Linked DNA regions of Oryctolagus cuniculus. The main gene of each other region encodes a partner of the protein of the gene in region 3 in a complex. Links are inferred from orthologs where the notes say so. Each region holds a gene or a part of one and is shown on either strand. Other genes may lie near its edges.

What was found.
Region 1: WDR5 (region 3) and TADA3 share a complex: the UniProt entries of both Homo sapiens proteins name them as parts of the ADA2A-containing complex. The link is inferred for Oryctolagus cuniculus from reciprocal best matches to the Homo sapiens genes WDR5 and TADA3.
Region 2: WDR5 (region 3) and KAT2A share a complex: the UniProt entries of both Homo sapiens proteins name them as parts of the ADA2A-containing complex. The link is inferred for Oryctolagus cuniculus from reciprocal best matches to the Homo sapiens genes WDR5 and KAT2A.
Region 4: WDR5 (region 3) and TADA2A share a complex: the UniProt entries of both Homo sapiens proteins name them as parts of the ADA2A-containing complex. The link is inferred for Oryctolagus cuniculus from reciprocal best matches to the Homo sapiens genes WDR5 and TADA2A.
Region 5: WDR5 (region 3) and PHF20 share a complex: the UniProt entries of both Homo sapiens proteins name them as parts of the NSL complex. The link is inferred for Oryctolagus cuniculus from reciprocal best matches to the Homo sapiens genes WDR5 and PHF20.
Region 6: WDR5 (region 3) and KANSL2 share a complex: the UniProt entries of both Homo sapiens proteins name them as parts of the NSL complex. The link is inferred for Oryctolagus cuniculus from reciprocal best matches to the Homo sapiens genes WDR5 and KANSL2.
Region 7: WDR5 (region 3) and SGF29 share a complex: the UniProt entries of both Homo sapiens proteins name them as parts of the ADA2A-containing complex. The link is inferred for Oryctolagus cuniculus from reciprocal best matches to the Homo sapiens genes WDR5 and SGF29.

Annotation. Positions count from the first base shown.
Region 1 is NC_091441.1:116,925,846-116,929,345, forward strand, and holds part of TADA3 (transcriptional adapter 3), read left to right. Parts: intron 1-674; coding exon 675-925; intron 926-1,038; coding exon 1,039-1,144; intron 1,145-1,795; exon of another isoform or gene 1,796-2,430; coding exon 2,431-2,572; exon of another isoform or gene 2,573-2,657; coding exon 2,658-2,761; exon of another isoform or gene 2,762-3,500. UniProt on the Homo sapiens protein: Functions as a component of the PCAF complex. The PCAF complex is capable of efficiently acetylating histones in a nucleosomal context. The PCAF complex could be considered as the human version of the yeast SAGA complex.
Region 2 is NC_091448.1:20,670,952-20,674,945, forward strand, and holds the start of KAT2A (histone acetyltransferase KAT2A), read left to right. Parts: upstream 1-1,194; 5' UTR 1,195-1,259; coding exon 1,260-1,598; intron 1,599-1,738; coding exon 1,739-1,862; intron 1,863-2,115; coding exon 2,116-2,261; intron 2,262-2,348; coding exon 2,349-2,438; intron 2,439-2,621; coding exon 2,622-2,803; intron 2,804-2,883; coding exon 2,884-3,075; intron 3,076-3,953; coding exon 3,954-3,994. Other genes in the region: HSPB9 (heat shock protein beta-9), read right to left, coding at 1-198. UniProt on the Homo sapiens protein: Protein lysine acyltransferase that can act as a acetyltransferase, glutaryltransferase, succinyltransferase or malonyltransferase, depending on the context.
Region 3 is NC_091432.1:235,840,181-235,842,558, reverse strand, and holds the end of WDR5 (WD repeat-containing protein 5), read right to left. Parts: coding exon 2,304-2,378; intron 1,858-2,303; coding exon 1,770-1,857; intron 1,465-1,769; coding exon 1,364-1,464; 3' UTR 501-1,363; downstream 1-500.
Region 4 is NC_091448.1:38,178,675-38,182,174, reverse strand, and holds part of TADA2A (transcriptional adapter 2-alpha), read right to left. Parts: intron 1,886-3,500; coding exon 1,753-1,885; intron 1,258-1,752; coding exon 1,214-1,257; intron 1-1,213. UniProt on the Homo sapiens protein: Component of the ATAC complex, a complex with histone acetyltransferase activity on histones H3 and H4. Required for the function of some acidic activation domains, which activate transcription from a distant site. Binds double-stranded DNA.
Region 5 is NC_091442.1:22,308,899-22,312,398, forward strand, and holds part of PHF20 (PHD finger protein 20), read right to left. Parts: intron 1,155-3,500; coding exon 761-1,154; intron 1-760. UniProt on the Homo sapiens protein: Methyllysine-binding protein, component of the MOF histone acetyltransferase protein complex.
Region 6 is NC_091442.1:52,169,477-52,172,976, forward strand, and holds part of KANSL2 (KAT8 regulatory NSL complex subunit 2), read right to left. Parts: intron 2,977-3,500; coding exon 2,810-2,976; intron 1,077-2,809; coding exon 980-1,076; intron 886-979; exon of another isoform or gene 749-885; intron 1-748. UniProt on the Homo sapiens protein: Non-catalytic component of the NSL histone acetyltransferase complex, a multiprotein complex that mediates histone H4 acetylation at 'Lys-5'- and 'Lys-8' (H4K5ac and H4K8ac) at transcription start sites and promotes transcription initiation.
Region 7 is NC_091450.1:7,527,553-7,531,052, forward strand, and holds part of SGF29 (SAGA-associated factor 29), read right to left. Parts: intron 3,458-3,500; coding exon 3,382-3,457; intron 2,833-3,381; coding exon 2,760-2,832; intron 1-2,759. UniProt on the Homo sapiens protein: Chromatin reader component of some histone acetyltransferase (HAT) SAGA-type complexes like the TFTC-HAT, ATAC or STAGA complexes.

The DNA.
Region 1 (3,500 bases), on a different chromosome or scaffold from region 3:
GTGAGAGACCCAGAAGTAGCTCCTGGCTTCTGTCTTTGGCCTAGCCAAGCTGCCAGTTGGGGAGTGAACCAACAGATGGAAGATTGTGTGTGTGTGTGTGTGTGTGTGTGTGTCAGACCACCTTTGAAGTAATATAATTTTTTTAAGATTTGTTATACATTTGAAAGAGTTACAGAGAGAGAGAGAAATCTTGCATCTGCTGGTTCACTCCCCAAATGGCCACAAAGGCCAGGGCTGGGCCAGGCCAAAGCCAGCAGCCAGGAGCTTCTTCCGGGTCTCCCACCTGGGTGCAGGGGCCCATGGACTTGGACCATCTTCCACTGCTAACCCAGGGGCATTAGCAGGGAGCTGGGTCAGAAGTGGAGCAGCTGGGACACAAACCAGTGCCCACATGGGATGCCGGTGCTGCAGGCAGCTGGTTTACCTGCTATGCCACAGCGCCAGCCCAGCAAAGAAAATGAATAAATCTTTTTTTTTTTTTTTAAGAGAGAAGTCAAATGAGATGGGCACAGAAACGTGGCCGAGTTTTGAAAGATGAGCAGAATTGCTCAGTTTGGGGATGAGGAGACCCCGGAGAGCCTCCTGGGGCTCAGGCTGCTGCTGTCCTCACAGGGGCAGAGCTGTCCTGTGTCTGCCCCCCACCCCCACCCTCACTGCCGGTCTCTGAATTTCAGATCCTCACTGACTGGCAGGACAAGAAAGGTGACCGACGGTTCCTCAAGCTGGGTCGAGACCACGAGCTGGGAGCTCCCCCCAAACACGGGAAGCCCAAGAAGCAGAAGCTGGAGGGAAAGGCGGGACACGGCCCCGGCCCCGGGCCCGGCCGGCCCAAATCCAAAAACCTTCAGCCCAAGATCCAAGAATACGAATTCACCGATGACCCAATCGACGTGCCACGGATCCCCAAGAATGATGCCCCCAACAGGTTCGGGGCCAGAGAGCGGGGGGGGGGGGTGCTCAGGCAGTGGAGGTGCTGGGCGCCCAGGGCAGGAGCTGGGGCGACCCCGGACCCCCACCCAGGATCTGCCTCTCCCACAGGTTCTGGGCCTCGGTGGAGCCCTACTGCGCTGACATCACCAGCGAGGAGGTGCGTACGCTGGAGGAGCTCCTAAAACCCCCTGAAGACGAAGCTGAACATTACAAGGTACACACTCTGGGCCTCCATAGACCCGGTGCAGAGCGAGAGAGCTCAGGGTGCCTCGGGTCCACGTTACTGCGCTCCGCCCACCCTGCCAGCCCCTGGGCGCCCCACGACCCCGGCAGGCACCCAGCTCCAGTGCTCAGCGGTGTCCCTGCGCCACCTTCCGGGACCCCAGCCGGATCTGCACTTCCTGCCCTGTGCCCTCACCTCCATCCCCTCCGCTCCGGCTCAGCACTGTGCTCCTGCCTCTTATTTCCACAGGGGCCTCTGTGTTTCTTTAGGACAAAAACCAGACATCAAACGTCGCCCGCTAAAGAGAATGCAGAGGCTTGGGGGTGGGGTGGGGAGGCTCCTGCAGAGGTTGCCTGTCACGAGCAGGTGTTTGTGACCTGGTCCTGCGCCCAGGCCTCCCCGGGCTCCCGTCAGGCACAGCGGCGACTTCAGGCGTCTGCCCCACTCCCCCTGCAGTCTGCTGAGCCACGACCCTCCTCAGCCTGTGTGCTCAGCCACCAGGCACACTGCCCTCCCTCCGGGCTCGCATAGGGTCCTCCGATCCCAAATGCCCATTCCCCGAGTGCCCCTTCCGATCGCCTAGCAGGAAGCAGGTCTCCCTGCGGCAGCTGCACACCTCGGTCGGCCCCTTACTTCACTCACCTGAGGGGCAGGCTGTGCTGTGGCAGACGGCATTCGGCAGATACGCGGCCCCTTGTCGGTTTGCTTCCAGTCCCAGCCCTTGTGCTTCCAGTCGGCCTCCTGCTGACACATGCGGGTAGGCAGCGGAAGTACCTGGGCCCTGCCAGCCACGTGCAAGACCTGGACGCACTTCCTCGCCTAGGCCTGGCCTGGCCGTTGCAGGCATTCTGCCTTTCAAATTGGTAAATAAACAAATCCTTTAAAAAAAAATGAAACAAATAAGCCAGGCAGTAGTAAATTCAATCAATGCAGAGGGCAATTTCCACACACCCCCCCAACCTTTAAAACCCCTGCTTCTCTGGAGCTAGCAGCCGTGACCTGACCGTCTCGCCCTGATGGATTTTTCCGGATTGTCTCCTCGTGTTTCACTTCTTTGTACGTCTGTGTGTCCTGCTCGAGCTGGAGTGTAGATCTTGCCTCCCTCGGCCCTTCTCATGGGACCCGGCACTGGCCTTGACCCTGTACCACAGGCGTGGGAGACGGACAAGCGAGTGCACAGCAACGCCAAGTGCACAGAGAGGCCCCTCCCCCAGGCACGGCCGGCTCGTCCGCCCCGCTCAGGGCCCCGCTCAGGGCCGGCTGCTGTCGCCCCGCAGATCCCGCCCCTGGGGAAGCACTACTCCCAGCGCTGGGCCCAGGAGGACCTGCTGGAGGAGCAGAAAGACGGGGCCCGGGCTGCAGCCGTGGCTGACAAGAAGAAAGGCCTCCTGGGGCCCCTGACCGAGCTGGACACTAAAGGTAGGCCCCTCACGTCCTCGCCCACAGCCGCCCCGAGCTGCGCCCCAGAACTCCGCCCTGCCCTTCTCTCCCCTGCCCACTGCAGACGTGGATGCCCTGCTGAAGAAGTCGGAGGCGCAGCACGAGCAGCCGGAAGACGGGTGCCCCTTTGGCGCGCTGACCCAGCGCCTGCTTCAGGCCCTGGTGGAGGTGAGCACCCCAGCCCCAGCGCCGGCCTCTGCCTTCTCCCCGACGTCTCCGTTCGTCTGTAGCACACGCTCAGACGTACACTGATCACGGCGCACCGCAGACGAGCGTCGGCTGCCGTCCTGGAGGTGGCCAGACGAGAGTTCATGTCCAAGAGGCTGCACTCGCCCCTGCCGGACCTGCGCTCCCCTAGAGGCAGCCGCTGTGCCACTTCCCGTCGCTAGGTCTTGGCTGAGGTTTTCCCACGCCTGTCCCCAGAGGAGGCCAGGAGAGTGGGGAGCCTGGGAGGGGCTGCTGGCTGGAGGTCCCCCAGAGGTAGACCCCGCTTCCTGAGCTGTGCTGTGACGTCCCTGGCCGGCCTCAGCCGGCTCCTGAGGCTGACACGCGCTAGTTCATTTCTCTCCTGTAGCAGCCTGGGGCACACGCTGCAGGTGCACTAAGGTGGGGTACAAGAAGGCTTCCTCACGCCATCAGACAGGCCCCCCACGGATGGTAACCGTGTCCCCTGCACAGGGTCGCCGAGGGCCCCCCAGAAAGGAGCAGAGAGGAGTGTGTAAAGGGGCTCTCTGGGCCACGACCAGCTGTGGCTCTCTGAATCTCTCCCTGGCTGCGGGGGAGGCTGGGAGGTGCAGTGTGGCTGGGCAGGCCCCCGAGCAGCACTGGGGAGGAAGGGAGAGCCTGGGCTCGGACAGCGGCAGCCTGTGCCGCGTCCTCCACAGCGCGCTTCTGTAAACCCCCCATT
Region 2 (3,994 bases), on a different chromosome or scaffold from region 3:
CTCGGGGGCGAAGCCCTGCGCGTCCATCTTCATTTGGAAATCGTCTGCGGCCCGGCCATGGTCCTGCACAGCGGCCGGGTGGTCCCTCAGCAGCTGCACCGGCAGTGTGGCCACCTGATTGCGTTCAGCGAGGGCCACACTGGGACTCCTCGACGCCACCTGGTTCCCGTTGGAGAAACTGCTGCCGACCCGCTGCATCCAAGTGAGCAACTGCTCTTCAGGGGCACGAGGCTCCGAACGCAAGGCCCGAGCTCGGCCAGGCGTGTGGACTCCAAGGAAACGGGAGCGGGGTCCTCACGAGGCCCCGCGCGGCTCCCCCGGGTCGGGTTGGGTCGGGTCGGGTCAGGCGGGGGCAGCTCATTCCCTTTGACTTCCGCAAACTTCGGCTGGGTCCGGGGTCAGCTCTGCCCGTCCTGCCTCCAGGAGCGGGCTGTCAGTTGCTCAGGAGCACCCGCTATACTTTTACCCTGGCCCTGCCCTTTCTCCACCACGGCACAATGGAGCCACTGAAGAGGCTGGACGCCGGGAGCAGACACTCGGCAGCCACCGACCGGCCAGGGGCAGGGAAGCCCATTGCTGGCAGAGACAGCGGGCGGGGTCCTCCAGGTCCTCCATCGCGGCGTGCCCTGCTTCTCCCTGAGCACACGCACGAGGGAGGCGGGCACATCCCTCCCTGTCCTCGGGGTCTGGGGCCACAAAGATGATGGCGCGGGCATCCCGCGTCCCAGTGGTTTTCCTTGTCGCTGCTGCGACCACAGCCGCGCCCCTGGAACTCTGTGTTTTGATACTAAATTCTCTCCGTTGAAGGATAACAAAGTGCACAACGCAGTACAGGTGGATGGTACACAGCGCACGCCCGGGGTAGCCACCGAAGCTCAGAGCTTCGGCCACGTCTCAGCCCCTGTGCGGCTGCAGCCCCGCGTCTGGGCCTCACGGGATGGGGCCTCGGCCCCCGTGGGGGGCGCCTATTTCCTGGGATGCACCTCCCTGTCCCTAAGACGGCAGCAACCGGAGCCGTCCCGGACGCCTTCCAGATAAATTGGGAGCCAGGAAGTCTGGGGTGCTAGCTGGGGCTCCCCTTGGCTGCCTGGTACCAAGAGAAAGGACGGAAAAGTCTGGAAGCTGGAGGCCAGGGGCGCGGCGGTGGAAGACTACAACTCCCGTCGTGCGTCGGGCCTGTGGCGCCTGCGCACTGCGCACCGGTTGCCCATGCGGCCCTAGGGCTGGGAGCGCGGCGCCGCTCCGCTGCGGGGGAGGCCATGGCGGAACCTTCTCAGGCCCCGGCCCCAGTCCCGGCTGCGCAGCCCCGGCCCCTTCAGTCCCCAGCCCCTACCCCAACTCCTACTCCTGCGCCCAGCCCTGCTTCAGCCCCGACTCCGGCTCCCACTCCGGCACCAGCCCCCGCCCCGGCTGCAGCCCCAGCCGGGAGCACAGGGACTGGAGGGCCCGGGGTAGGAAGTGGGGGAACCGGCAGCGGGGGGGATCCGGCGCGACCTGGCCTGAGCCAGCAGCAGCGCGCCAGCCAGAGGAAGGCGCAAGTCCGGGGACTGCCGCGCGCCAAGAAGCTTGAGAAGCTAGGGGTCTTCTCCGCTTGCAAGGTGGGGGCGGGGCCTAGGGTGAAAGGGGCGGGGCTTGAGGGCATCCCTGGGCTCGGGTGGGAATGGGGGGCGACGCTCTGGACGCTTAGCGGCCCCTGCCCCTGGGGTGCGGGGGTCGTTGACTTATCTCCTGCCTCCAGGCCAATGAAACCTGCAAATGTAATGGCTGGAAAAACCCCAAGCCCCCTACTGCTCCCCGCATGGACCTGCAGCAGCCTGCTGCCAACCTGAGCGAGCTGTGCCGCAGCTGTGAGCACCCCTTGGGTAAGGCAGGCAGCGCCCTTGCAGGTGGTGGGCGCCAGGTGCTGGGGCCTGCTTGGACAGCCTGATTTCGCTGCCAGGAAACCTCGTCTCAGGACCTTAGGAGGTGTGGGGTTGGGGGCAGGCAGGCCGAGAGGGAGGAGAAAGGGAAAGTGCCAGCCGGGAAGATGCGGGGCCACCTTTGGAAGTCTTGGCTCCCTGCCGAGCAGGGCGTCCATGCCTCCCCACCCCGCGGCCCGGGCTGGCTGTCTTGCAGCTGACCACGTGTCCCACCTGGAGAATGTGTCAGAGGATGAGATCAACCGGCTGCTGGGGATGGTGGTGGATGTGGAGAATCTGTTCATGTCGGTGCACAAGGAGGAGGACACGGACACCAAACAGGTCTACTTCTACCTCTTCAAGGTGAGCTTCCGCGAACGGGCGTGAGTGGGGGGCAGGGGGGCTCTCAGTTCTGATGCTCCCTCCCTCCCTCCCTCCCTCTTCCTGCAGCTCCTGCGCAAATGCATCCTGCAGATGACCCGGCCTGTGGTGGAGGGGTCCCTGGGCAGCCCCCCGTTTGAGAAGCCTAATATTGAGCAGGTGGGGTGGGGCACGGGGAGCTGGGTCCTCCCTCCTGCTCTAGCTGAAAATCAGAGGGGATCAGCCGGGGGCGTGTGTTCTGTGCTGACTGCAGAGTGGGGTGGAGGAGGGGGGGCACTTTGTCACGAAGCTGGCTTCTTAGCCCTCCTCCCTGGATTTGTTCCCCACCCCACCCCTTCCCAGGGTGTGCTGAACTTCGTGCAGTACAAGTTTAGCCACCTGGCTCCCCGGGAGCGACAGACCATGTTCGAACTCTCCAAGATGTTCCTGCTTTGCCTTAACTACTGGAAGCTGGAGACGCCCGCCCAGTTCCGGCAAAGGTCCCAGTCGGAGGATGTGGCTACCTACAAGGTCAATTACACCAGGTAGGCCCTGCCCGGGCGGGGGCTGGGGGGGGATTTGTAGACCTCCCCATGTGCTCTCACCCTGCTGTCCCCACCCCCAGGTGGCTGTGTTACTGTCACGTGCCCCAGAGCTGCGACAGCCTGCCTCGCTACGAGACCACTCACGTGTTCGGGCGAAGCCTCCTCCGGTCCATTTTCACTGTTACCCGGCGGCAGCTGCTGGAGAAGTTCCGAGTGGAGAAAGACAAGCTGGTGCCGGAGAAGAGGACCCTCATCCTCACCCACTTCCCCAAGTAAGGCTCGTTCCGGCCCACTGCGAGTTTGCCCCAAGTTCACGTCCTCCCTGTTGTCCCCTTTTTTCCAGGAAGCCTTCCTGGATTGGTCCCTCCTCTCCCTCCATGGGCCTTCTGGGATCTGGGCGTCTACCTGGCAGACTTGCCCATGGCCCAGAAGCAGCTTGCTAGTAGTTGCCTTTGCACGGCCTAGTCTGGGGATGGCAGGTACATGGCCCCGGCTAACGCTGCCCCTCCCACACCCTGCTAGGCGTTACTAATTGTTTCCCATGGGGGCCTGGACCCAGCCTCAGAATCCCTCCCACCACAGAGCTCCAAGAAGCCAGCGCTGACACCTGAGGTGACAGCAGTGTCCGCCCCGCGCTAGTCCTTTCTGTGCCAGTGTCCCCCCGTGTGCCACACCTCTCTCCCATCTTAAGCCTGGCTCGTGACTTCTCTGTTCAGAGAGCCTTGGCTGTCAAATCCGGGCCCCTGAGTGCCCCTGCCACCAGGTGGGAACAGGAGGTGGTGAGTTGGGGTGGATTCCTAGTCATCTTGATGCTGCGGGGAGCAGGGGGACCCAGGGGGACGTGGTGCCCTGCCTGGCTACGGGGTTGGTATTTAGCTCGGGCCCTGTGGCCCTGTGCTGCCCGAGATGGCCAAACTGGGCCCCTTTGCTTGGTGTGTCCGAAGCTCTCACCTTGCATTCGAGGCTCCCGGGAGCCAGGGGGCCGTGCCTGCCCCTGTGGCCAGGGCTTCCCGCAGGGCAGAGCTTGCTCTCAGACGCGCCTCGCAGGGTCTGTCTCTGGCCACGGCACAGCCGCAGCCCCCCGGGGGCCCGGCCCAGGCCGCCTTTGGCGGGAGGGCGGAGTCGTGGACAGACGGCGCCCTCCCCCCAGGTTCCTGTCCATGCTGGAGGAGGAGATCTACGGGGCCAACT
Region 3 (2,378 bases):
CAGCTGCGGGGGGCGGGGGGCTCCCCGGCAACACGGGAGACACGGGCGCGGAGTGGGGCGGGCCCTGGCCACGTGGCGCTTGTGGCCCCGCGGGGACAGTGACCAGGCGCCCATGTCCATCTCCGGCTCCGGCCTGCCAGCGCTTGGGGCGAGCAGAGCGCATGGGTTCTCTCCGCCCCTCGGATTGTTCTAGAAACCGAAACCTGGTGGCCACACCGCGGCGCTCGGCTTCCTGCAGGGGTCCCTCCGGCTGCGGGGGCGCACCTCGGCCCGCCCACTCCCGCTGTCCATCATCAGCCGAGGTCTCCGCACACCAAGGACGTCCGGCGGGGCCGGGCCGGCAGGCGGAGGACGAAGCCGCAGGGCTGCTGCCCCCGACACCCCCAAGGGGACCCACGCGGGCCTGAGCACTGGGTGCAAGCCCCCCCCCCCGTGTCTGCCTAACTCTGCCTTCCAGGAAACAACCTCAAAAAGGAAAGAAGAATTCTTGTAGGACGAAATTACAAGACATGAAAATCTTTAATTTCAAAAAGAAATGTATTTTTACATAAATCTACAACAGAGAATTCAAATGTAGAAAAAATAAACTATATCCGGGACACGGCCACTCACAGCCCCCGAGGGAGCCGCGGCCACCAGAGCCGGAGTCCGGGTCCCGGGGACGCCCCGGCGCTGCGCCCAGCCCCCGCACCCACCTCTCCCGGCGCAGTCCCAGGCCCGGCAGCGGGGGCGGCCCCACTGCCTCTGCGGCCCCGCCCTGGGCGGCCCCCACCCACAGGAGCCGCGAGCTGCCTGGGCTGCAGCACGGCCTGGGGAGGGGTCCCGGGCGGTGCCCTGCGACACCGGAGCCCAGGAGCAGCGCGGGCCCGCGTCCTCGGGGAGACCCTTCGACTCCCGCCCCCGCCCCGCGCCGGCCGCGTCCCCAGGGAGCCCTCAAGGCCGCCCACGCCCAGGCCGGGCGCGGCTGCCCCAGGGGACGGAGCCCGGGGACGGAGCCCGGGGACGGAGCCCCAGGACGGAGCCCCAGGACGGAGCCCGGGGACGGAGCCCGGGGACGGAGCCCGGGACGGAGCCCCAGGACGGAGCCCCAGGACGGAGCCCCAGGACGGAGCCCCAGGACGGAGCGCGGGACGGAGCGGGGCGGCGGGAGTGGTCGCAGCAGGGGCGCTGGGCAACGAAAAACCAAGAAAGGTGCAGCACGTTTACGCAAAGACACAACTCACGAAACTGGACGTCACCCTCGAGACACACGAGAACTTTGTTGGCGCCGCGCGGGCACAGCGCGCGGGGGCGCCCCGCCCCGCCCCGGGTGGCCACGCCCGGCCACGCCCCGCCCCGGGTGGCCACGCCCCGGCCACGCCCCCTAGCAGTCGCTCTTCCACAGCTTGATGGTCTTGTCGTTCTCCAGCGCCGCCGAGGCGATGATGTTCTCGGTCGGGTGGCAGGCCGTGGAGATGACCACGTCTGCGGGCAAGGACGCGCTGTGGCCCGCGCTGGGGGCCCGCCCGCCCCGCTCCCCGCTCCCGGGGCCGGCCTTGCCCACCACGCCCCCCTCCCCGCGTGCCCAGGGCCCAGGGCCAGCCTCGCCCCTTGCCCGTGCCCAGGCTCCGGGCAGGGACGCCGACCCCGCCCCCGACCCCAGAGGAGCGCGGCCGCCTCGCAGCCCGGGACGTCCCAGGGCCCTGGCCCGGGCAAGGGTCGGGGTCTGCGGCGCCCCGGGGGCGCGAGGGGACCTGCACAAAGCCCGCCTCCGCCGGGCCGCGCCTCACCTGTGTGGCCCTGCAGCTTCTGCACGATCTCTTTCGTCTGCAGGTTCCAGATGTACACCAGGTTGTCCTCCGAGCCGGACACGATCCACTGGAGGGGAGCACACGCGTGCAGGTCAGAGCTCACGCGTGCAGAGGCCCCGCCCCGGCCCCCACACTCAGGATGCATGCAAGAACTTCCCGACTGTGCCACTTGGCAGTGTGGGCGCACACGCGTGTGCACGGGCCCTGTTAGGAGCGGGACACTAGACGGAGAAGCCCCGCCCCCGCAGCCAAGCTGCAGGCGCCCGGGCCACGCCCCCAGCCCGCCCCACCCACACCACCACTCTCAGGCAGGCTGGAGGTCCTCGGGCCACGCCCCCCAGGCCCGCCCCGCCCCACCCCCAGGCAGGGACGGCGCCCCAAGCCCACCCTGCCCACAGGGCCATATTCAGCCAGACTGGAGGCACCCGGGCACGCCCACGGGCCCGCTTGGCGCCTGCACCCAGCCGGGCAAACCCAGGAGGCCCAGGGCAGCCTGCAGCGAGCCGCACTGACCTTGCCGCCAGTCACGGAGAAGTTGGCAAATATACAGTATTTCTCGTTCTTGTGTCCCGTGTAGGTCTTCAGGCA
Region 4 (3,500 bases), on a different chromosome or scaffold from region 3:
ATGGCCAATCTAGCATATGGAGCAGGGGCAGATGACCACCAAGAGAACGTGCAAAGCACTCTAAGGGGCCAGTGTTGTGGTGAAGTGGGGAAGCCTGCTGCCTGTGATGCTAGCATCCCGTCCGAGCACTGGTTTGTGTCCTGGTTGCTCCACTTCCAATCCAGCTCAATGCTAATGGTCTGGGAAAAGCAGCAGCAGATGGCTCACATGTCTGGGCCCCTGCCACCTAGATGGGAGACCTGGCTGAAGTTCTTGGTTCTGGCCATCAGAGTGAACCAGCAGATGGAAGATCTCTAACTCTGCCTTTCAAATAAATAAATAAATCCTAAATAAACAAACAAGTGGTCAATGATCTTGGGTCAGAATTTTATAACTATAATCTTTCCAAATTCCTAGTCATTGATCACTACACACCAAGATCATCAGATAGCAGCCAGCTGAATCCTGCTCTACAAACTTATTTCAAAATAGGACATACCCAGCGAGGTAAAGCAAAGAAACAGAAAAACCTTAAGCTTCTTATTTATAAAGAAATCCTCGGCAGGCGCTGCAGCTCACTAGGCTAATCCTCCGCCTGCGGCACCGGCACCCCGGTTCCAGTCCCGGTCGGGGCGCCGGATTCTGTCCCTGTTGCCCCTCTTCCAGGCCAGCTCTCTGCTGTGGCCAGGGAGTGCAGTGGAGGATGGCCCAAGTGCTGGGGTTCTGCACCCCATGGGAGACCAGGAGGAAGCACCTGACTCCTGGCTTCGGATTGGTGCAGCACTGGCCATAGGGGGTGAACCAACGGAAGAAGGAAGACCTTTCCCTGTGTCTCTCTCTCCTCTCTAACTCTGCGTGTCAAAAAAAGAAAAGAAATCCTCAAGTTTCTGGCAAGTAACACAGTTTGTTTGCTCATACTGGATACAAACCTTTGATCTCCTGCAAGACAAATCTCCAGAGTGTGTGGCAGATACAAGTGCCATAAACTGACTGCCCGCTGACACTGGTAAAATAAGGAAGCTACCTTCTCTACTGTTCTTCCTTCCTCTGTCTCTGTCCTCTCACCCTGAGGACACTCCTTTCTGCCCAGGGAAGGTTCCAGAAACCTGCAGATGTTTACAAACTGGACTTGCCTGAGTGCCTTGGTCTACACTGGGTGGGATTTTGGGGTCATCATCACCCCCATAATGCAGACTTTACCATCAAGACTATTTCCAGCCTGAGAAATAATTACCTGAATTTGAAGCCATTGGAACAGAAGGACTCAGGCCGGAATCACTGTAGTGAGGAAGAGGAATTTAGACTCAGGTCAAAAGACAACTTCCAAAGTCCCTATGGGGTTGGGGACCATTCCTCAGGTGGGTCACTCTGAAGACATCATGTTTTCCAGGGTATCTCACTACACTGACCGGGAAGGAAAATCTGTTCTGAGGGAAAATAAAAGGAGCCCTGGATTTGTTGAGAGCTCTTACCCCTGGAACGCCACTGATATCGTCACGGGGAAGGGTTAGCAGGACGATTCTCAATGGGAATCACACCATGGATATCCAGGCGGAGAGGGCCCAGGTGGGAGGCTAGGGAAACCCACTCATTTTTAAAAGTAAGAGCAACGTAGCAAGGGGGAATCCCAGGAAGCCAGCTCTACTTCTCAGAACTGTTAGGACTGCCCTGTTTCTGAGGGGACTGCAGTCATCTGCATGCAGGGTGCCCGAGAGGGGCTCCACAGCACCGGTGCGCTCACAGCACCAGGGAGGAGCTCACAGCACTGCTCACATGTCGGCTTGCCGGCGGAGCCACTGCTGGCATGCCCCGCTGTCCTGGATGTACTGCAGAACCTCGGAGAGCATGGTGCGTTTCAGACGCTCCTCCTCTCGTGTCTTCTTCAAGTGATCGTAGGTCCTGGCACCTGAAGGCATAGAAAATACGATGACCACAATGACAATGCAGCAGAGCTACGGGGATTCCTGTTTGGCTTTTCTTGGTTTTCTTTGCAAAACTGCTTTCACAGCTATTTTTCCAAGAGCAAAAGCAGGGTTCTCCTAGTCTGAAATCCCTTTGTTGATACTAACTGAAATATTTTTATTCCTGTTCTACCTTTACGAAATTTGGAGGAGAGGAGGGAACCAGAAAAGCACAAATAATACTCATATTTCCACTTTAAAAAAGCAATTTGACTACTGTCATATTTGCTTTCTGGGTTTTTTAATTCATATCTATTTCAAAGTCACAAGGGCCATAAGCATAAGCTGTTCCTTCAGAACCAATCAGAATTAAACAAAAGTGCCCACTCACCACTTTCTATCCCATACTTGCCAGAGGCCACCAGCAGAAGGTAACTGAAATTCAGCATCCATCTCTACATGCACCTAAGAGTTGTGGGATGCTTTCTCCACATTCACAAAGGTCACCGTAACAACGGGTTTCCAACCGTGTCACACAGAGCCTCAGGACACTACGAGGTGACTTTGAAGAGCAAAGTCAGTGCCAAATATTGGGAGTCCTGGGCTCCATTCATAAGTGGCACATCAAATGTCAACCAAAGTAATTCCACTTATGACCTATTTGTAGTTTGTAGCTTCACATAAAATTTCACTTCAAACATGGTTTCCACTGTTAAAAGGAAAGAATTGTTGAACTTACACCCACAGGGCTATGTTAAGAAACACAGCTACTTCTTGTGGGTAGTAGATGATAGCTTTCAAGTCTCAGACTTCAAACAGGAAGAGGGAGTGAATGCTCAAGATCATTCCTACAATAATAGCAGAACAACAGAAATTGCCATTTATGGGGGATTTCTGTGTGCCAGGCACTGAGCCACATTTTTACACTACCTCTAACTTAATCTTCACACCAACTTGAGACTTGGGAAATTGAAACTTGAACAGAATCACAGAGCTAGTAAAGAGGAGAGTCCAAGTGTAGCCCTCTAGCCTCAAAGTACTGTAGTAACACATGGCCTTCCCTGATGAACTGGCTCTAACATTTACTTGCTCTTTAATCTCTTCAAGCCTTCGTTTCTTCAATAAATGGAAATAACAGTACCTCATGAGTTGGTCATAAGAGTTCCAAGACATAATCCAGGTGAAATGCCTAGCATAGGGCCTGGTGCACAGTAAACATTTGACAGATGTTAGCTGCTACTAATACAATTACTCCTATTACTTCAAGTAACTGGAATGCAAGTACCAGAGCCATCCAAAGCTTGGTTAATAAAACTTTGTTAATACACTTAGAAAGGCTGGGGCTAAAACCTAGAATATAAAACTCTTTTTTATTAGGAACCATGGCAGAATCCTAAATCTAAAGCAACATCTCTTTTCTTTATATCATGACTGTTATTCTACTTCAGATAACCAAATAATGGTGCTTATATGGATAAAATGGGATGAAAGTTTACTGGAAAGATTGAAAACTCATTCTGAAAAAGAAAAGCCTGTTTTAAAGGAAGTATCACAATACCTCAGACACTTCCTGGATGCGTCTGGAAGACACTTGCTCTCTGATACACCATGTGATCGAAA
Region 5 (3,500 bases), on a different chromosome or scaffold from region 3:
TCTAGTCCCGGTCGGGGCACCAGATTCTGTCCCGGTTGCCCTTCTTCCAGGCCAGCTCTCTGCTATGACCCAGGAGTGCAGTGGATGATGGCCCAAGTACTTGGGCCCTGCACCCACATAGGAGACCAGGAGAACCACCTGGCTCCTGCCTTTGGATCAGCGCGGTGCGCTGGCCACGGCGGCCACTGGAGGGTGAACCAACGGCAAAAGGAAGCCCTTTCTCTCTGTCTCTCTCTCTCACTGTCCACTCTGCTTGTCAAAAAAAAAAAAAAAAAAAAAAAAAAAAAAAGTGGCTCTGGAGAAAACAGAGGAAATCTGCAAATATCTTAATAAAATGGACCCTTGTTATGACCAGGCTGCAAAGTTAAAAGAAAAGTAAGTCAGTCACACAACTATATTGAAAAAACCAGGCCTAACCAAACACCTGACTCACTGTCCACTAAGAATCAGCACCTAGGTGCAACTATGAAGGAAACGGAGTGTCCCCACCCTGGTTCCATTTCTGGAACTCCTGGCAGCTTCCCACCTCTCCACTCCCACCTCACCAACCACACCATTTTGTGGGTGTTTTCTGGAACCAACAATCGTTAGCTTAAGTGAGCTCTCTTGACTTTGCATTCATTTAATAGAAAACATGTGCATGTTAAACAGATTTAAATACGGTTTTCTGGCTGACTATCTTGCACAGAACAGGTAACCTACCAGGAGAAGACACAAGCACTCCAACACTGAGGAAGAACAAGTACGAGGAGCCACATACCTTTGGGGAGCTGGGTTTGGGGTCACTGTCGCCCCTGCTCCTGTCTTGGTCTAGAGGCCAGCCCAGACGAGGGGAGAGGGAGTCGTCGCCGTTCTCGTGGAGTGGGTTGACTGCATCGTCCAGGGCAGAGCCCCGCGTCTCCACCACCAGCTTCTGTTCCACAGCAGGGTAGTAGGCGCGGGGTTTCTGGTAGCAGTGCTCGCTGGTGATATACGACTCCTCCATGGAGCGGGGCAGGGGCTTCTCCACTGCCCCGTTCAAAGTTCTATAGCTGGGGGCCTCTTCCCTGCTCCTGGTGTCCACGATGCGGATGTGCGTGGACTGAACTCTCCCCTCCCCAGAGTGCTGTTTCCAAGGCTGGCACCACAGCTGCAGATCGGGGTGCTCCCTGCTTCTGTTGGGAGGGCAGACAGGGAAAGGCTTTTTGCTAACTGGCACGACGGCAGAGCTCCTCAGTTCCCACCTGGGCCAGCTGGTCAAAGCCCACCATTCGCTAAGCAAAAGGGAGAGCCAATCTCCAGGCTTAAAAATTTCTACTTTATGTAAACTCCAGCTTTTAACTCTTCTCTACCACTAAGAATCTTTACTACAACCTTAGATCATTAAACAAAAGGAAGATGGAAAGGAGGGAGGGTGGGCGGCAGGAGTGCCCTTCAGGCACAAGCAGGTGGACAGAGAGCTGTGATTCACATTTGGTTCATTTAGGAATGTCCTGAGGGGCCACTGCTGTGGCTTAGCGGGTAAAGCTGCTCCCTGCTCCTCATACAGGTGCCAGTTCAAGTTCCACCTACTCCACTTCCAATCCACCTTCTGCTAATGCCCTGGGGAAAGCAGCTGAAGACAGTCCAAGTGTTGGGCCCCTGCCACGCATGTGGGAGACCTGGAAAAAGCTCCTGGCTCTGGCTTGGCCTAATGCTGGCCATCATGACCATTTGGGGAGTGAATCAGCAGAAGGAAGATCTCTCTCGATCTCTATTTCTTTGTCTTTCCCTCTCTCTCTGACTTTCAAATAAATAAATAAATAAATCTTAAAAAAAAAAAAAAAAAGTAATGTACTGAGAAAATGCGGGGCCTTCCTGGTTGTCACAACCCTGAGGGGTGATACCAGCATTTAGTTCACAGAACCCAGGGACACTAAGAATCCTGTCATGTTCAGGCAACCCCATATGGAGAAGAACCATCCCAAGGCAGAACGGCCAACAGTGCCTTCGTGACCCCCAGAGATAAACACTGAAAGCAGCAGCTTGCTCGCCAGCAGCTCCTAGACAGAAGTACCCCTGCCTCTTAGCTGCAGAAATGCAACTGCCCATGAGCGCAAAGGCTGCAGCAACTTGGCATAACCCCAAGTTCTACTCCCCAGGTGTGCAGCTAGCCTTGCACGGCTCTCCCATTCCACTCCTACCCACAGAGGAAGGAGAAGAAGCAACTGGTACCAAGGCAGCCAGAGTCCCTGGGCCACCTCCAGGAAGGGTATCAGAGCCTGAACCCAGAGCCGAGACACACCTCTGTAATCAGAATGGTGCAGGAGAAATGGGGTTGTCTTGCTAACTTCTAGGGCCACTGCCATCTGAAATATGTTAACATGGAGCTCATGAGCCATAGTTCAGATCTGCTCTTTATACAAAAACTATAAGTCTTTGCCTCTTTTGTACTAGAGTTTTTGCCTTCCCAGCTACAACCTAGAATCCCAACTACTCTTCCTGACAAGGATGACCCTGACCACCCCTTGTTAGCCCTGTCAATCATGAAGAAAGTATGCATAGCTATCACTTTTAAAATGATACTCTGAAATGACTCCTAGTTTTATTGTTTGCCTGTGCACAAAACTGCACAAGGCCCCTTGGGAACAATATATCTGACAATGAAAACCCAGAGCCCGTGACTGCACAGACTATCCAGGGTACAAAGACACAACGGCCCCTGTCCCTTTTCCGGGAGCTTTCCTCCATGCATAATGATTAACAGGATCTCCCTATGCTCTCTTCTGAATTGCCATGAGTCTGATTTAATTCCAGTGCAAACAAAGTCACTTTTATAAAGATGAAGGCTTTAAACCAGGATTTAGAAAGACAAGGTTAGAGACTATGGTGCAGGGCCAGAGGCACTGGCATTTCAATGAGAGAGTACCATCTGAAGGAATCCTCAAAGGAAAAGAAACAGAGTTGACAAGCAGCCCCTCACAGGGACCACTGTCCACCTACTTCAGTCAATCTAGCACCTCATTAAGAACAGACTAGCTGGGTTCATACGGGGTAAAGTTTCCTATCTTACAAAATGTGAGGGAACAGCCAATCTCTGATACCCCACCTGGGGCTGTCAACAGATGCAGTTCACCTGAACAGATAATGGCAAAGCAACTGCTAACTGCCTTCCATATCCATCTTCCCCTCTTCCTCTCACACCCACCCCATTCCCCAGTTTGGGCAGGCCACAGCGCCACCCAGCCACCTGGCCAGCCTCCACTGCAGTCAGCTGTGTCTGTGAAACTGCTCGCCCTCCCCTTCTTTTCTCTTCCTCCTTCTTAGGTGCTGGGGCAGAGTCAAGGTTCAAGTTTCCTTCTATCATGCAGATCCCAAGACCACACAGAGCAATAAAAGGAAACCAAGTCCCCAAATCTCTGGAGAGAGGACTTCTACCTGGCCTAGACTTTCGCTTATCCCTCCACCATTCATTATGTGAGAAAGAAACTGCCATTTTGGTTGAGTCTCTGTTTTAGGGATCTTTGTTATAGCAGCTTAAC
Region 6 (3,500 bases), on a different chromosome or scaffold from region 3:
ATGTACTTTCGGGGCCGGCCGTGGCTCACATGGCTAATCCTCCGCCTGCAGCGCCAACATCCCATATGGGCACCGGGTTCTAGTCCCGGTTGCTCCTCTTCCAGTCCAGCTCTCTGCTGTGGCCCAAGCAGTGGAGGATGGCCCAAGTGCTTGGGCCCTTGCACCCACATGGGAGACCAGGAAGAAGCACCTGGCTCCTGGCTTCGGATTGGTGCAGCGCCGGCCGTGGCGGCCATTTGGGGAGTGAACCAACAGAAGGAAGACCTTTCTGTCTGTCTCTCTCATTGTCTGTAACTCTACCTGTCTAATAATAAAAAAAAAGACTATTTTAAAAAAATATGTATTTTCACAATAAACAATTCAAAAAGTTTTGCAGCCCAATGATAAATACAGTTCTAGAGTAGAATCAAGAGATGTTATGGGCAGTTCAAAGGCAAGTTAAATTTACGAAGAAAAAACAGCATCTTATTTTTTGAACCATTGTTACTAATTTGAATGAAGTTTAAAATACATAAGAGTCTTGATCATACAAATTTATAATAATGGAAGTTCACAATGCAATATCAACATCATCATTTTGTTTTGGGTAGAAAACCCACCATTCACATTTTTTTGCTAATCATAATTTTACAGCATTATAATCTGATGAACAAGTTAAATCAAGAATCCAAAGATAAATACAAATATTTTAGAATCCCAGTACAACGACTAAAAATAAATATTAGCCCACATCTATCACCAACAACTCCATTGTTTCTTCCCAATGAATTGACCATTACATTTCAGAAGTTCTGAAATGGTCAACAGACCATAGAAAGACATTTCTTTAGGCTCCTGCTTGAAACCAACAGCTTCAGCACACTGCTGGTCTTGATTCAGGGCCAAAGTAAACAAGGAGCTTCAATTAAACAAGCCAGCAGATTCCCACTAGCTCTCAGTCTAGCAAGCAAATCACAGCCTGAACACAGTAAAAGGATACGAGTAAGGCAGTGTCTGGTCATAGGAAGAGACTGATTGGAACAGCGAACATCATCCACAAAGGCCAAACACCTCTGACTAGAACGAGTGGTATGCGCCTAAAATGGAAAAATTAGATAAACTCTTCAAAGAACATACAACCAATTATGATGAAAAGAATTATAAAGTACATCTTCACAGGGTAGAAAATTCAACATCTAATAAATGAATACACCAATATTACACATAAGAAAAAATGCAGAGGGTGGGCATTTGACATAGCAATTAAGACACCTTTTGCGTTTCCCACACCCCACACTGCAGTGCCCAGGTTTGTATCCCCCACTCTGCTTCCAATTCCAGCTTTCTGCTAATCTGCACCCTGGGAGGTAGCAGGTGATGGCTTAAGTGTTTAGGTCCCCCAAGCCCACATGGGAGATTCAGAAAGAGGTTTGGGCTCTTGGCTTCGGCCTTACCCAGCCCAGGCTGTTCAAACCATTTGGAGAGTGAACACCAGCAGATGGGAGATATCTGTCTTGCAAATAAAATCAAAAATAAAATTTTTTTAAAAAATAACAAATTCAAGAATGATCACGGGCCAGCGCCGCAGCTCACTAGGCTAATCCTCTGCCTGCGATGCCAGCATCCCAGGTTCTAGTCCCAGTTGGGGCGCCGGATTCTGTCCCGGTTGCTCCTCTTCCAGTCTAGCTCTCTGCTGTGGCCTGGGAAGGCAGTGGAGGATGGCCCAAGTGCTTGGGCCCTGCACCCGCATGGGAGACCAGGAGGAAGCACCTGGCTCCTGGTTTCAGATTGGTGCAGCACACCAGCTGTAGCGGCCATTTGGGGCTGAACCAACAGAAGGAAGACCTTTCTCTCTGTCTCTCTCTGTCTATAACTCTCTCTCTCTCTCACTGTGTAACTCTGCCTGGCAAAAAGAAAAAAAAAATGATCATGGGCCCAGCACTGTAGCACATCTACCCGCTGTAGCACAGTGGGTAAAACTGCCCCATTCAGTGCCAGCATCCCATATGAGCACCAGTTTGAGTCCCAGCTGCTCCACTTCCAATTCAGCTCCCTGCTAATGCACCTGGGAAAGCAGAAGATGGCTCAAGTCCTTGGGCCCCTGCACCCACATGGGAGACCTGGAAGAAGCTCCTGGCTCTTGACTTTGGACTGGCTCAGCTCCGGCCATTGCAGCTATTTGGGGAGTGAACGAATGGATGGAAGACCTGTCTTCTCTTTCTCTAACTCTGGTTTTCAAATAAGTAAATAAATCTTAAAAAAAAAAAAAATCACTTCTTATAAACCTAACTTCCTTACATTCAACTGCTTCTGTTCTATTTTCCCACTCTTTATAACAAGATTGTCAAGCAAGTTAGGCTTAACCTATGCTTACTTCTGAACTGAAGATTAGAGATCTATCCCAAATAATAAATCTGCAGATAAGTTAAGCTATTATGTGATCACAGGAGTAGTCAGAAGGGGACTAAGATTGGAACCCATGTCTCCTGACATCTTGGTTAGGTGCCTTCATTACAATCTAAGTCTAGTGAGTGAGATTACAGAGCCAGGATTGGATATAGTATTTTGACAACACTCCAAACTTCATAAATAAAGGGGCTATATATATACCTTAAAGCAGGAATATGGAATACTTGGCCGCTAAATAGCACCCACTAAATCATTTGGTCTGGCCTTGTCAAGGCAACTATATGTGGGACTCAAAATTGAGTAAACCTACAGCAGACTTAATTTTTAACTGGATAATTTTGGATGGCCCACAAATGACGTTATAAATACCAAAATGGCCCTTGACAGAAAAAAAGGTTCCCCCACCCCTACGTAAAATCACCTGTTGAGCGGCCCCATCTGTGGCTAGCATTCTGCGTTCCTTCAGCTGCCTGTGTAGTAACGCTTCGACTCCATAGCGCTGGCGATACCGCCGCAGACATTTTAATCGTTTCAAATTCTCACGTTCTTTGGCCAAAAGTCCCTCTGGGCCAGTCAGGAGACTACCACCTGGGAAGTCCCAAGAGTCAAGATGTTATTTGCCAAGCAATCCACAAAGGATATGTCTGCTAATCAACAAGAAAAGAGGAAAATCTTGGGACCAGTGCTGTGGCACTGCTATCTGCAGTCCATATGGGCACCAGCATGAGTGCCAGCTGTTCCACTTCTGATCCAGCTCGCTGCTGATGTGCCTGGGAAAGTAGCAGAGGATGAAGCAAGTGCTTGGGCCCCTGCACCCATGTGGGAGACCAGGAAGAAGCTCCTGGCTCCTGGTTTTGGCTTGACCCAGCCCTGGTCATTGCAGCCATCTGGGGAGTCAAACAGCAGACAAAAGATCTTTCTCCCTCTCTCTGTAATCTTTCAAACAATAAATAAATCTCTTTAAAAAAAAAAAAAGAGAGAGAGAGAGAAAGAGAGAGAGAGAGAGAGAGAGAGAGAGAGAAATGGCTATAAGATAAGCAATCCCAAAAGCAAATTCTCCCCCACTGCAGGTACTAAGACAGAAATAAATCTAATTACTACCAAATCCAAAT
Region 7 (3,500 bases), on a different chromosome or scaffold from region 3:
TTTAGGGGCCAGTGTTGTGGGTAAAGCTGCAGCCTGCAATGCTGGCATCCCATAGGGTGCTGGTTCAAGTCCCTGCTGATGTACCTGGGAAAGCAGTGGATAGCTCAAGTGCTTGGGCCCCTGTACCCAAGTGGGAGATCTGGAAGAAGCTCCTGCCTTCGGCCTGGCCCAGCCCTGGCTGTTAAAGCCACCTGGGAAGTAAACCAGTGGATGGAGATCTCTTTCTCTGAAACTGCCTTTCAAATTTAAAAAAACAAACAAGCAAGCAAAAAAAAAAAAAAAAAAAAAAAAGGCTTTTGCTATTTGCTACAAGGAATATCAGTGAACAATGAAAACTGAGTAAAATATGGGGGCTGGTGCTGTGGCGCAGTGGGTTAACACCCTGGCCTGAAGTGCTGGCATCCCATATGGGCGCCGGTTTTAGTCCCGGCTGCACCTCTTGCTATCCAGTTCTCTGCTGTGGCCTGGGAAAGCAGTGGAAGATGGCCCAAGTCCTTGGGCCCCTGCACCCACATGGGAGACCCGGAAGAAGCTCCTGGCTCCTGATCAACGCAGCTCTGGCCGTTGCAGCCTTCTGGGGAGTGAACCAGTGGATGGAGGACCTCGCTCTCTGGCTCTCCTTCTCTATGTAACTCCGACTTTCAAATAAATAAATAAAAATCTTAAAAAAACTGAGTAAAATATGTAGTTAACCCGGCCACAACTGTGCACCCACCTGCCAATCAGACTAACTGACCACTCCCCTTTGGAAGTGGATTAAAGGCTTGGGACATGGTGGGCCCTTTCCCCCTTTTTCATCGTTGTGGACCTGTGCTGCCCCCGCGCCTCGGGGCCCCCGCCCCATGCTTTCTGGGCTGCGTGCTCCTCCACGCTGGCTCCTGGTGCTTGGTCTGAATCCAGAGTACCCTCTCGCTTTTAGATAGAGCCCTGCTCTCCTATGCATTTCTCTCACTAAATATTAAAAACCTTAAAACTTAAAAAAAAAAAAAAAGAAAGATGAAAGATATGTAGTTAATAGTTTCATGTTAGTGTTAATGTCCTGGTTTTTTAAAAAAATACTATTTGATAGGCAGAGTGATAGGGATACCTTCCATCTGCTGGTTCACTCCCCAAATTTCTGCACCACCAGGAGCCTGCAACTCCATCTGGGGCTCCCATGTAGGTGGCAGAGGCCCGGACACTCGGGCAGTCATCCACTGCTTTCCCAGACACGTGAGTGGGGCGCTGGCAGCCAGGACTCCGTCTGGCGCTCTGACCGGGGATACCAGCATCACAAATGACTGCTCAGCTCACTGTGCCAGTGATGTTGACAACCGAACTCTGGCTACACAAGGATGCCTTTATTTTTAGGAAACACTGACTGAAGAACCCGAGATCAAGGGACATCATGTAACTCATTCAAAAAAATAATGCACGTTTGTAGAGTGCATGAAAAAGCGAATGGGGCATGTGTTGGGTGCGGCAGTTAAGCCACCACCTGGGACACCTCACCCTGGGTGGGACGACCTGGAGCCTGGGCTCCACTTTCAATTCCAGCTTCCTGTTACCGCAAACCCTGGGTTCGGCAGTGAGGGCTCAGGTAGTTGGGTCCCTGCCACCCATGTGGGAGACCTGGGTTAAGTTGCCAGCTCCTGGCTTTGGCTTGGCCCACCCCTGGCTGTTGCAGACGTTTCTGGCAAGTGAACGAGTGGATGGAAATTGCTCCCTGTCGCTGTCCTTCTCTCTCTGCCTTTCAAGTCAAAGCAGGTTATAAAAATTTAAAAGTCAATGTGGTAGAACACTGCTTTTATGAGTCTGAAATCATTTCAAAATAAAGAAGTTACATCAATAACAGTCTCCATTAAACCACAAAGGCACCTGTACGTCTGTGTTTCACTGCCAAGCAAGGTCCTGAAACAGAGTTAAATGAAACTGTTTCTGCAGAACTTATCAGAGCCTGTCACCGGCCTTGTGGGCCTCCAGCAGTGCCACGTCCCACTCCCTGGAACGCTGCAGCTCCACTGCGCGCAACCGTCTTCCTCTCACAACCACTAAGGTGCTGGGCAATCTAGAATGACCTCCCGCTCTGACCCTCAGGGGAGGTCCCCCCCACCCCCCAGGAGGCCCACTGCACCTGCCCGGGCCATTGAGGGTGGACTTCCAGGACCAGCCCTGGTGTGTAGCATGGCCCAAGCTCCAACCATCCCCTCCCCTGATCACTACTAAGGGACTAACTCTGGTGTGGGCTCTTTAAAACGATCCCAAACTATACAAACTCGTAGCCTCACTATTTGATTAGGATGACCTTTTAGAAAGTACAAAATTAAAAAAAATCCCTCTGGGACTTTCTGGGTTGCTGTGAGGGCTGGAGCTGCGCTTGCTGAGCCACCAGGGTGCTGCCCAGGGCCTGGGCCCCACCTCTCTCCCGCGCCATCTGGAACGGGAGGAGCAGGCAGCAGCGCTGTGGGCTCCCAGGGGCTCGGGAAAGCACCAGCAGCCCAGCAAGGCCGGGTGGGAGCGAACACTGCTGGGACAATGGGGCGTCTCCCTCTTCCTCAAGAGCGCTGGCGTCAGGCCACACCTGCCTGGCCCACATGACGCTCACGACCCTGGAGGTAGCCGTGCGGCCTCTGCTCGTGGTGGGCACTGAGTTTGGGCTGAGGAGATGGCCCCGGAGCAGCTCAGCGCCCATCTGGGAAGCAGGACTCCGGGGGCGAGGGGGGCTTAGGAGGCACTGTGGGGAAGGCGGGAGTCCCGCGAGGCCAGCAGGCTGTACTCACTTGCACTCGGCCTCCGCGTCGGCCTTGGCGGTCGTGTAAAGGCCCCGCAGCTTGGTCCGGTAGTAGGGAGAAACTGTGGACACAGTGACGGGGTGGAGGCGTGCGCAAGCGGCTGGCACTGCTGCAGGGCCACCAGGCTCAGACCTGGGACATCCAGAGAGGCCGGGCCCCACGCCCCCGCACCACGCGCCCAGCAGTGGTCACGTTCAAGACCACGTTTCCATAGGGCCAGAAGCCATCACCACATCCAGGGGAGCACTTCTAGCTCCCACGTCTCGTGACACACAGCAGAAAATACACGCAGGAGGCAGCGTGCACAAAACCAGGCGACTCGTGGGGACCCCTCCCCAGGAGGCCCCCACCCCCAGAGGGCGCCGGCTTTCCCAGCGACAGCGACAGCGACAGCTTCCCTGGCTGCAGCCTCATCTCCCTGACCTCCCATCCCCGCAGTGGAGGGATCTGTCGGTTCTTTTGTGAACTGTCGCCACCCCCGGGTCACCCAGCCTAAGGGAACACCGTCCCTGCAGCCCGGGGCACAGCTCGCTGTGGACCCCGCAGACAGAGGCAGAAGCCCCCTCCAGGGCCGCCGCAGCCATGTTCTCGGTGCACGCCCAGGACTCACTCTTGTTCTCCGTCTGCATCCGCTCGTGGGTCTTCTGGATGTTCACTAAGTTGTGTTCACTCCTCGAGCGCTCTTCCTGTGAGGACGGGGCAGCAGGACGTGGGCGGGCTTCACCGTGT